2 linked regions of the Arabidopsis thaliana genome follow. The protein of the gene in region 2 purifies or fractionates together with the protein of the main gene of each other region. This does not show direct contact. Each region holds a gene or a part of one and is shown on either strand. Other genes may lie near its edges. The genes, in order: GCP4 and GIP1.

Region 1 (7,088 bases), on a different chromosome or scaffold from region 2:
CCTGAGAGGAAATACTCTGTCTGGATTGGAGGATCCATCTTGGCCTCCCTCAGTACCTTCCAGCAGGTGAATAATAATCCAATCAATTTCCTTTCACTAAACATAATAATTCCACTCTGCAGCTCTGACTGATCGGTCTTCCGTTCTTGAATTTTGTAGATGTGGATCGCAAAGGCAGAATATGATGAGTCAGGCCCGTCGATTGTTCACCGGAAATGCTTTTGAGCTTGAAGTTAAGTCTGCTTCCGGAGAAGCCCTGGGGGTTTTCCAGTTTGTCCTTACTGGGTTTTTATCTTCGTTCTCTGCTCTTCTTTGTTTTTCTTCTTCAATATTTTCAGATTCTGGCCTAAGACATTTTGAAGAATTTACATTATCTGTTTGTAGTGTTGGTTAAACTGTTGTCTTGTTCCTTTTATTTATTTTGGATGACACAACTGTGTTTGAGTGAATAAGAACTCCTGATTTTTCCAAGTTTAGAGAGGTTATTTGATAATCTTCTTAATTTAGTCTACCTCTAATTTTTTAATTCTTTTTTGTCAATGTCTACCTGTAACTTTTATCATTGTCGGTTTTGTGTTATGCTACAGTCATACGTTATTCTTTTACTGAAGAAGAAAATATTCATCACTGTTCAGTGTTCACTGTTCATAAATCACTAACTGAAGACTCTTGATTATAGAAATTTTTGCAAATCACGTCATCAAGCTTATCATATTGTTAAAAATGATTAAAGAAACCACATCTACATAATTTACAGAGTATTACATCTATAAAGCACGAATTAAACACAGCACTAAACAGATTCTTGTGAAAGCCGGAGCACAGTACACAGATTCTTACAAAGGAAAGGCGTGTGAGCACGAACTCTGTCCACATATATTTATGTATATTCCATTGGTGGCGTCATGTCATCCTGGTTTGAGGATCAGACAAATGCTATCTTCTCGTGTCATAGTTGTTGCATTAAACCTTCGGATCAGCTCATGTCTGAAAAAGCTTCGGAACGAGATTCTTCCACCAGGACTGTCTGGCATTTTACAATGGAAGCGCTGGGCGTTGTCGGACAACGTTTAACACGCCCCTTGCAGTTGCCTGCTACCAGGAAAGAGAGACAGTGAGAAGCTCCCATTGAGAAAAACTTAAATCTTCTGATTGAAATCCTTACCTCGTAAAAGGAATTGAAGTTTAGACGTAAAAGAAAACGTCTCAAGAACGGGGCTCGCTGGCTCCCGGCGAGTTTGCTGCTTCTCAGTATGGTGTACAAGGAATTTGACTTCTTGTTGAATTCCTTAAACCGCAAGATAAAAAATTATGAGAGACCATTGTTACCTTTGTATGAGTATTACAGTGAAAAGATAACGCACCTCAGCTATGTTTTCAAGTTCTGAAGTGTTTGGGTTGCTTTCTTGATTCTCAATGTTCCAGCAGAACTGGAGACATAGTTTCATGATGCTATCAAGTATCCTTGAGACGGAACCAATGTCGAGGAAAGATTGAGAGATAAGAGCGGAGAGGTACCTGCATTTGTATAGTACAGTAGGTAAGTAGAGGGAAAAATTACTGAAAAAGATTTAGGTTCAGACTTGCTTCACAAAATAATAAAAAATCGAAACGAGAACCAAACACAGAAGAATAAATGCCAGGCCAAGTAAGTAGCATGAAGACTCTTGAAAGAGAACAACGAGCATTGGATATACTTACTCTTGATGGAAGCCAACGAGTTCAGTGAAATCTTGAGAATCGTGGATGTGAGTTTGCAACACCTTCCATTGAGATTCTATCACGTCAACCTTAAGACAAAGAGAGAATCAAAACATGAGAAGTTTTTTGTTTTACAAACTGGCTTATAACCAACTTTGAAATTCTTAGGAAACGTCGTCTTTACCTGAATGTAAAACTGAAGATTCCTTATCAAAAACGCCATGTGCTCTCTAACACGCCACATGGGTCGTATTCCTTGTCGTCTTTGTTGAGATGTTGATCCGTTTAAACCATCTTTTCGATGTTGAGCAGATTCTATATGATCTTGATGCATTACAGAAGCCCATGATTTCTCCAATTCCATCTGAGTTCTCTTTAGCCGTATCAAATATTGGAACACCTTGAGATACCTAACACAAGTTTATAGCTCTCAGAGAAAGCATCACATATTTCAAGTTCCAGCAGACAGCCGACTAAAAATTTCATAGTATAATCGATGCAAAAACTTTGAAAGTGAGAAAAATTAGAAGAAAAGAAGGATATAAGCAGTGCCTAAGGATTATTACTTAGAAAGCACTTCTTGAGTGAAAAACAGTTGCATGGGCCAATCAACAGAATACTCCAGAGCAATAGCGTCCCAGCCATCCACAGAGGTGTCTGATGTAAGATTTGCCTTCCCGGTGAGAGATACTTTAGATCTCACCATGTCAGCTTGAGAAGATCTGACTGTGACTCCAAATGAAGGCATCCTGGTGAGAATAGCAGTTAAATAGCCAAATTAAGGAACAGTTGGGAGAAATAGTTATTAATATGTGCGTCCCACTTAGCTCAAAGGCTCGACACTAAATCCATTAATACAAAGTCGTTAAGAAGAATTTGATGTGTTACTAACCGTAGGGATACCCTAGAGAAATACTTATCTTCCTCCGCAATGGTTTTTGTTGCAGCCTGTGTGTTCCAAAAGAAAGAACATTACAAAAACAATTTGACCTGAACAGAACTTTTATCATGAAATTGTTTAAGTTGTAACCACATACCAACTGAAACGGTACCATAAGATCAGATTCTCCAGTTGACTGGCGAGGTGGCAAACGCATCAACTGACGACTCTCCTCCAGAAAGCACTGAAATCAGAAAGTCTATGAGATGAGAAATTAAATGTCCACAGGTCTTTAACTGAGGCTAGTGCAAGAAGAGGAGGACATGAACAAGTGGGAGCGACATTAATCACCCTTAATTTTCATTTAAGAGCATCAACAGATAGATTATGTGGTTTACCTGAAAGAAATCTCCTTTTTCTAAGAGGAAATAATCTTTCAGAGCTTTAAGATGACCATTGAGATCAGCACGCACAACGACAAGCTGAAGAAAGGAAGGTAATGTGACCCAAAAAAATAAATCCAGAAGATTGAAGTTTAAAATGTTGTCAAGTGAAAACCTGCCAAAGATGACTGGCTGCTATTGCTCGAACAGAATCAACAGTGCACTCAAATGATCTCTTGTGAAACTCAGATGATTCCTGCACACAAACGTATAAATCTAAGTTTACAATCTGAGCTCTAATGTGATCCTAGGAGAAAGGCATATACTATCTCTACGCATGATCTCTATGCATGAGCAGTAGGATCGCGTGCTGCATAACCGAAAATCAACTCAGTTATTTAGATTGTTATACTTTTTACCAAAGATATACTGTCCAGTGAGAAAGTACCTTTAAATCTTTGAGCATAGCTTCAATCTTATCTGCCTCAGATTGTGGAAGCAACTCTCCCCCTGTAAGATCTGCATCTAACTCAGTTTCTGTTTCAGGGAAATCACTATGCATAAATCCTCGAATTCTCTGGGAGCCACGCATTGTTTGCTGAAAACTCTTGTCCTTCTGGAACTGGAAAGCAGGACTGGGATTTCGCAAAACCCTTATGGCTTTCCCCGCAAAAAGAATTGATTCACCAAGGCGCATAGGAATATAATCAGGTAACATATCCTGCAATATAAGCACAGAAAAATCAATAATATAGTAACAGTACCTAAATCAAAAGTGTAAGTGGCATGGAGAATACCAAAGAAATGTGAAATCCAGAGTGCCAATCAGTTAAAGATGTCTCATGAACTGAGGTACGAGCCAACTTTTCAGATACTTCTTCCTGAGATGAGCGATGATCTAAATCACCATCGTCCTGCCTACAAGCAAACCAGAAATGAGTTGAACATTCTTTGGAGAAGATAAACAGAAATCAAAGTGCATCTGCAGACGACGGCAGGCCATAATGTATCAATGCAAGTATACAGCAGATACCTAAGCAGAATAAATACATAATGAGGACCACTAATGACGACATTAAGAAAAACGAGATGGCACTCAGCAAATATCAAGATAAAATTGACAAAACGATGTAGATTTACAATTTACCTCTTGATGAAAAATTCTCCATGAGGATCCTGAAGAATGCCATAGACCATCCAAGCTGCAAGCTGATTATACATGACCTGATGTCCATTCCAAAGAAGCCTGCACGTGGATAAGGGAACAAGCAGGATACAAAAACTTTGACAAGTGGTGACGCTGGACTAAATGATCTCAGTTTACTGAAAATAAAGCCACTGAGGAACAAAGCTAGTGAATACCTTTGGAGACAAGTCCTCAATTCAGGCACACCACAATGACATCTTTTATTCAATACATTAAGAAGCTGCCCTCCACGAATATCATCACGCTCAATCTCAAGAATTACCTCATACAGGGGCGGGAAAAGAACGAAAAACTAGACAGAAAATGGCATTGGACTATCAATAAACACAAATTCATTTGGCAAATGCTAATCTCAATCATCAAGTGATAAATGTGTTGGTATTGTACTAGAACATGTACCTTATTGAGCCCCTCTGTAACCGTAGCCAGAATAGGCGTAGTCTCCGCCAATAGCTTCTGTTCAATGTGAAGAACCGCAGATCTATAGACCGAAAGAATCTCCCCAATTCCATTAGCAATGGCTCTACGGTACACGCTAGGCTTCTTCTCTCTACTCTGCTTCGACAATTCATCAGCCCGTTCCAACGGATGCACACTGGTCACAGACCTAATCCAGCTCAAATTGCGAGACTTCTTCGCAAACCGGTCGAGTTCTCGATAGTAGAACCCTAACTTGATCAACCTTTCGATCAAGTCCCTGCAAGGAAGCGCATCAGAGTCACTAGAAATCAAAATCAGCGGCCAAATTTACCAGATCAGCGCGAGCAGAGACTAAACCTTTCGCTGGGTTCGATGAAGGAGATGTCAGGAGCGAGTTTGAATGTACATTCATCAGAAAGAGGTGAATCGGAGTTGAAAGCGAGGCCTAGGGTTTTCCGTTGCTCACGCTCGTCGACGATGAGATCGCCGGTGAAGCCTAAGAGAGCTAGAAGAAGCTCGTGCAACATTGGGAAATTCACGAAAGACGAAACTGCTAAATATTTTTTGGGGGAGGGAAATTGAAAATCCAAATGCCGTCACTGTCGCCGGACTTGTTGGTTTACCGGTGTAGTTCAGTGGCAAATGGTGTAATTTCATGAGAAAACAAAGGTGTTTTGCTAATTTAGAGAGTCTCTTTTTCTCTTGTCTCGGGTCCACTCGAAAGACCCTTTATTCGGTTTGGTCTTTCCAATCAACACCAATTCGATATGGTTAACCAAACCAAAACTCTATCTAAAAATCCGATATGAAACCGAATTAGAGAAAAAATAAAATCCGACTATGTTTTAAGAACCGTAGTCGAAACCAAACTTGCTCGTGTAACCACTAACCGGCACCCGGCAAGTGGAGAAAAAAACAATTTACTTGACCAATTGTAGGGAACAAAGGTAGTTAAGCTAAGCTTGATTAAGTCAAAATTCTTTTTTGCTACACTTCTAGTTGAGCCAACAAAAATGATGCTAAATTATATTATTCGAAGAAAAGCCATTATCTCGATTGACCCTTCAAATAATTTGACCGTTCAGAGAAACCATTGAATCTTGATCGTCTCAGACCTTTTCACATAATATGTATAGACCAATTCAAAAATTGTTTTATGTTTAGTTAGTTCACCGTTATTAAATCAATAAATTTGATTTAAAAATTAGCACGTACGCTTAAAACTCTTTAAAAATTGAAGCATGATTAGGTCATTGTCCTGGTTGTATATTTTTCGATGATTTAATCTGACTTCAGGTCGAGCAAGGGACTACTACTTCTCTTTACACTATAATTTTTTTTTTTTTTTTTAACAGAACCTACCAATACTTTAATTTTTTATTTTGTTCCAAAGTCTGATCAACATTACAAAGTCAAAGTATTAGTTTATTCCAACAACAACAAAATTGTTATGATTAACAAATTCCCTATATACCTATATATAAAGCTATATCTTCCAAACGTACATAAACCAACTCGCGCGTTCATAAAATAGTCTATACAAAAATCCTCTTACACTTAATCTTCTTCATAGGAGATTTGAGAGGATTAATGTCTCAATCACTTTTCAATCTCAAAAGTTTATCTCGCTCGATCAACAACACAATCAGAATGTAAGTCTATCCATTTGTATAAACCTTATGGTTTTAGAAAATACTGTATATTGGTTAATTCTTTTGAATATGTTGCGTTGTAAACTAAATGAGAATTCTTTTTTTTTTATAAATATTATTCTAGGAGAAGATACATTGTGATCACAAAAGCCTCTCAAAGGGCATATACAATTGGAAGTAGTCAAGAGAAGCCATCGTGGGCATCAGACCCTGATACCGGATACTTTAGACCCGAGACCGCTGCAAAAGAGTTAGATCCATACATTGCAAAAACCTCTCAAGTTCAAGGTAAAATGATGAGAGGAGAAGAGTTATGGTGGATGCCTGATCCTCAGACCGGATACTATAGACCAGACAATTTTGCCAGAGAGCTTGACGCAGTTGAGCTACGGTCTTTGCACTTCAACAAGAATCAAAAGACGTACGTAGTGAGCTAAATTATCTCTACATGCATGTGTGGTTAAATAAAATAAAAAACTTCTGGTACATTGATTTGAAGTGAGAACTCGTAATAAGGTTTTGGCAAATTATTTGTTTGCCTCATTGCTTCTTAGTTCTTATTTTTCTAACGCGAGACGCATCATTGTTTAGTCATGTTGACTTTATCAAACAACATGATTTGTTCAAGGTTGCTTCCAAATGTTGGGTTTTATCTGGTGAATCTTTTTAAAAACAAGTTGTCACGTATTACTATTAGTTATCTATATAAAAAATTCCATTCCAAATTTCTGTTATATATTTTACCAAATGAAAGATCTCCATGCCAAATTTCCATTTTCAGATTCTAATCAATAAAAATTGTTTGAGAGAGTATTACAAAAAATATATCTACATATTCTTAATTT
Region 2 (3,745 bases):
GACTTTCCGATCACTCCTAGCTTCCCCTGACCTCGAGGCCGCAAGATCCCTTATAGGAAAAAAGGAGAAGTGTCTCTATGTTTGCTTAAACTTAAATAAAAAACCTGGCTGGTTCGTACATTCCCTTTCTCCCAACCAGAAACTGATACCAGTCCCTTCACTTCCTAACTTTCCTTACCAACATCCTAGTTCTTCGACTGTTGTATCACTTGGTTCAGATATTTACTTGGTTGTAAAACTCATCATTTGCGTCAACTCCCCAAGATGCATGTCCCTCGAGAAGAAGCATGTTTTAATGTTATCGACGGTAAGATCTGTGTTTGGAGGCATCAGCAGTAAGTATTATGACACTGCTGAGAATTATGGAGAAGTTTACGACCCAAAGACACAGACTTGGGAGCCAACAAAATGTACTGGAAGATTTTCTCGCGAGAAAATTATTGGTTTGTGCCCTACTGTTTGCTTGTTAGAGTCAAAGAATAACGTATGGTGGACAGCGAGGGTTTCTGAAACTCGAAACTAGTCTGCGGTGATATATGCACGTTCACGATTAGAGGACTTGAAGAACCGTCCTCTAAGTATCTTATTTCGGTGACAAAACCCTGGCCTGAGGAAGGAGAGTGATAGTTCGGTGGAAGACTTATACTAAGGAATGTAAAACGGAGATTTGGTGTGCAGAGATTTTGATTGAGTGTGATTTCCCTCTTCGGGGATACATAGAATGTTTTTACCTTCCAGGGGTTGTGAATCAGATGATCCCAAATTCCTTTTGCATTCTGCTTTAGTGACACATGATCACTGAATTTTCTATGAGCTTTTGAGAGATAAAATTACAATTATATACTTTTTTTTGCATTCTGCTACTTTGGCTTTCAAATAACGGTTCATACAAATAAAAGAAGTTATAATTCATCCATACAAATTTTGTTTAAATGATACAAAAAAAGTAGTAACAAGATTCACATACCAACCACAATACTTGTATAATCCATTGCATACCTGCAACATAAATTTCGACCGGTCGATATGTTAGATCTGAAAACAACAGAAAGAGGTAGACTTGGGCATAGACTCGTCAATCATCATTAGACTGAGAAAATTCTCAATACCTGATCAGTGTATAGATGGTGTGGTTGTGACAGAATCGGGGATAGACTCGCGACGAAGCTCTTTCACAACAGTAGCTAGAGCTTCAGGGTTAACACCAAGATCACAAAGAGCTATGAGAACTGACAAAGTATGCCGGTCCAAACCCGTGTCCAAGATGTTTGACATGCGAAACACAAGCTCTAGTGACTCTCTTGCTGTCCGAGATGCCTCCTCATCCATACTGATCACACCTGTTAAACTCCACAATTTTAAAGTCCTAAGGTAGTTAGTGAATTATAGAGTTTCTACCAAACCAAATTAGACAAAAGTAAGTGAACTATGATCTAACAAGAACCAAGTCAAAGACTCTTAGGTGATTTTGACATAAGAAGTTAGAAACTAGAGTCTTATAAATTACACAACAACATTTCAAGCTAGAGCTTTGTAGTGAAGATACAATGCTCACACACACAAAAGTGAGTCAAATTTGTTTCAGAGCCCAATAATATTATCTGATAGGTGAACAAGGATTAGTCTAATAGATCAGTTAATACCAAAACCAAAACACAACCCAGAAACATTCAATTCAAAAGAAATGTAATTCAGATGAAAAATGAGATTGAAATTAGGGTTTTTATGTCGGCGGCAATTTGCATAACATCGAATAAATTTCAAATTTTTTATTTCGAGACTAAGAATTAAGGAGTAATCTGATAGAAACGAAGATAAGAAAACTTACGTTTAGAAACGGAATTTGCAAAAATAAAGTATGAAGCTTGGTCTTGGAGATAGTCGCAGACTCACAGTGTGAAGTGAGAAGTGGGAGACGAAGGGAAAGGACTTGGAGGTCTTTCAATAAATGTAAATTGTGTTATGTCAAAAGAAAAAAAGTTTATTGTCTTTCAATAATCATATTAATATTCTAAACAAAAATATGTTTGAAATATAACTCCGACACTAAGATTGATAGTGTTAATTTTTTTTAATGAATTATACTAATGAAAAGAAAATAATATAACTCTGACACAATTGTTTTTCTTTTTTAACATCTGAAAAAAACAGATTTTTTATAATTGAGATAAATCATATAGAAGATGTTTGTTTTTAATATTTTTTTCTCGAACAAATGCTTATTTCATTATATAAGAAATGAGTTTTCAAAATTATTAACTCACGTGTCAAATTTATTAATAAGATATTCGCACATGTCAAATCAAATTTTTTTATATTTAAAAACATAAATAGAAATTTTTTCTAACCTTATTGAAAAAGAAATATATACATAAAGTCAAAAATAATGTTTCTATATTCAAATTTTTTATTTAATATACTAAACTATTGAACTAATGAACTAATTCTATTAAAATTGATATATTCAAAACAGAAGTATAAGTTCTTTATTTTGTTTTGAAAAATATTAATATGTGTTTTAATATTTTCTAATAACTTAAATATGTTTATTCTTTTATTTTCTTAAGTTTATTTTTTTCCCTCAATTATATCGTTCAATTTGTTTACAACAATATGCATCTAGAGGCTCCGTTGCGTCCGTCTTTTTCTTGATGTTGTATGTCGTCAGTCGTCTTTGTCTTATCTTTGTGTTGTACTCTGAGAAATACCTTATTATATGTAATCAATAAAAGCATGTTATATAGAATCTATAGAATGTGTAAGATTAAAATTTGTATTTAGAAAATACAGATTACTATGTAAAATTTAAATCTCGTAAAAAATTATTTAATTCTCACAACTGTCTATTTAGAAGGGAATTATCTAATATAATTCCAAGTTTTGAAACATTGTAAGACAAAGTTAATTATAGAATCGATGTTTCAAGCTGTTATTCATTAGAATTGAAGAATGAGTAAATATTGAACCCAAATACAACTTCTCAAATGTTTTTACTTTATATGATATTTTTTTGGAGTATAACATGTAGCGTAAGCTAAAATTGTAAGAAATAAATTGGAAAAAAAATTATCTATTTAAAAAATAATAATTTAAAACTCTATTTCGGTGTAGGAGGAGTTACACCGGCAATTCTTGAACATTGTTCTTTTAGCATCGGAGGGAAAAGCGGAATAAGTGGAATTTTTGGTATGCAGTTGGCTTCAGCGTCCAAAAATGCTTTGCAACAAGCAGAACCTAAATTACTGAATTTGCCAATAAAAATGGATTGAGAAATCTCTGCAATGCATTCAGGAATATCCATCACGGATGACCAACATTTCGTTATATCAGGTAATCCTGGCATTCCAGGAATCGGTTGAAACGAAAATGGAAAAAGAAACGGAGCCGGAAACTGAGGTAACTGAGCATTTACAGAAACTATGATGCATAGAACCACTAAGAGTGAAAACACATTTTTGATAGGCATAATGAGAAACTGAGAAATAAAAAAGCCTTAGTATAGCCAAATATATGCTTAATGCTCTGTTTGTTTTTGATTGATGAACAACAATAAGATTCCTGCTTATTTATATGGAATGAAATGTAAAACTGTGATATTAATTATTTTAATAACATCTTTGAATGGTTTAATTAGGTATTTGATTAACAGTTTTATAAATCAAAATAAAGACGAAACTCCAAGTGTAAAAGAAGCAACATTAACTAAGAAATATTGATTAAAAGAGAGAAAATAAAAGTATAACGT

What was found.
Region 1: the proteins of GIP1 (region 2) and GCP4 purify together in Arabidopsis thaliana (affinity purification with mass spectrometry, with the first as the bait; one study listed by BioGRID). This does not show direct contact.

The regions. Positions count from the first base shown.
Region 1 is NC_003074.8:19,917,147-19,924,234, forward strand, and holds GCP4 (GAMMA-TUBULIN COMPLEX PROTEIN 4), read right to left. Parts: upstream 5,367-7,088; 5' UTR 5,119-5,366; coding exon 4,949-5,118; intron 4,869-4,948; coding exon 4,571-4,868; intron 4,464-4,570; coding exon 4,327-4,463; intron 4,211-4,326; coding exon 4,112-4,210; intron 3,883-4,111; coding exon 3,762-3,882; intron 3,686-3,761; coding exon 3,413-3,685; intron 3,221-3,412; coding exon 3,140-3,220; intron 3,064-3,139; coding exon 2,980-3,063; intron 2,826-2,979; coding exon 2,739-2,825; intron 2,650-2,738; coding exon 2,594-2,649; intron 2,451-2,593; coding exon 2,268-2,450; intron 2,112-2,267; coding exon 1,886-2,111; intron 1,791-1,885; coding exon 1,702-1,790; intron 1,519-1,701; coding exon 1,365-1,518; coding exon of another isoform or gene 1,326-1,364; exon of another isoform or gene 1,289-1,325; coding exon 1,166-1,288; intron 1,093-1,165; coding exon 1,036-1,092; 3' UTR 674-1,035; downstream 1-673. Other genes in the region: ACT3 (actin 3), read left to right, coding at 1-66, 160-225; AT3G53770 (late embryogenesis abundant 3 (LEA3) family protein), read left to right, coding at 6,182-6,243, 6,368-6,680. UniProt on the Arabidopsis thaliana protein: Gamma-tubulin complex is necessary for microtubule nucleation at the microtubule organizing centers (MTOCs).
Region 2 is NC_003075.7:6,037,290-6,041,034, reverse strand, and holds GIP1 (AtGCP3 interacting protein 1), read right to left. Parts: upstream 1,981-3,745; 5' UTR 1,829-1,980; exon of another isoform or gene 1,341-1,828; 5' UTR 1,330-1,340; coding exon 1,114-1,329; 3' UTR 1,110-1,113; intron 1,000-1,109; 3' UTR 809-999; downstream 1-808. Other genes in the region: CRP4 (ECA1 gametogenesis related family protein), read right to left, coding at 3,098-3,466. UniProt on the Arabidopsis thaliana protein: Required for gamma-tubulin complex recruitment to the microtubule organizing centers (MTOCs). During mitosis, modulates gamma-tubulin complex localization, spindle stability and chromosomal segregation. Necessary for gametophyte development and embryogenesis.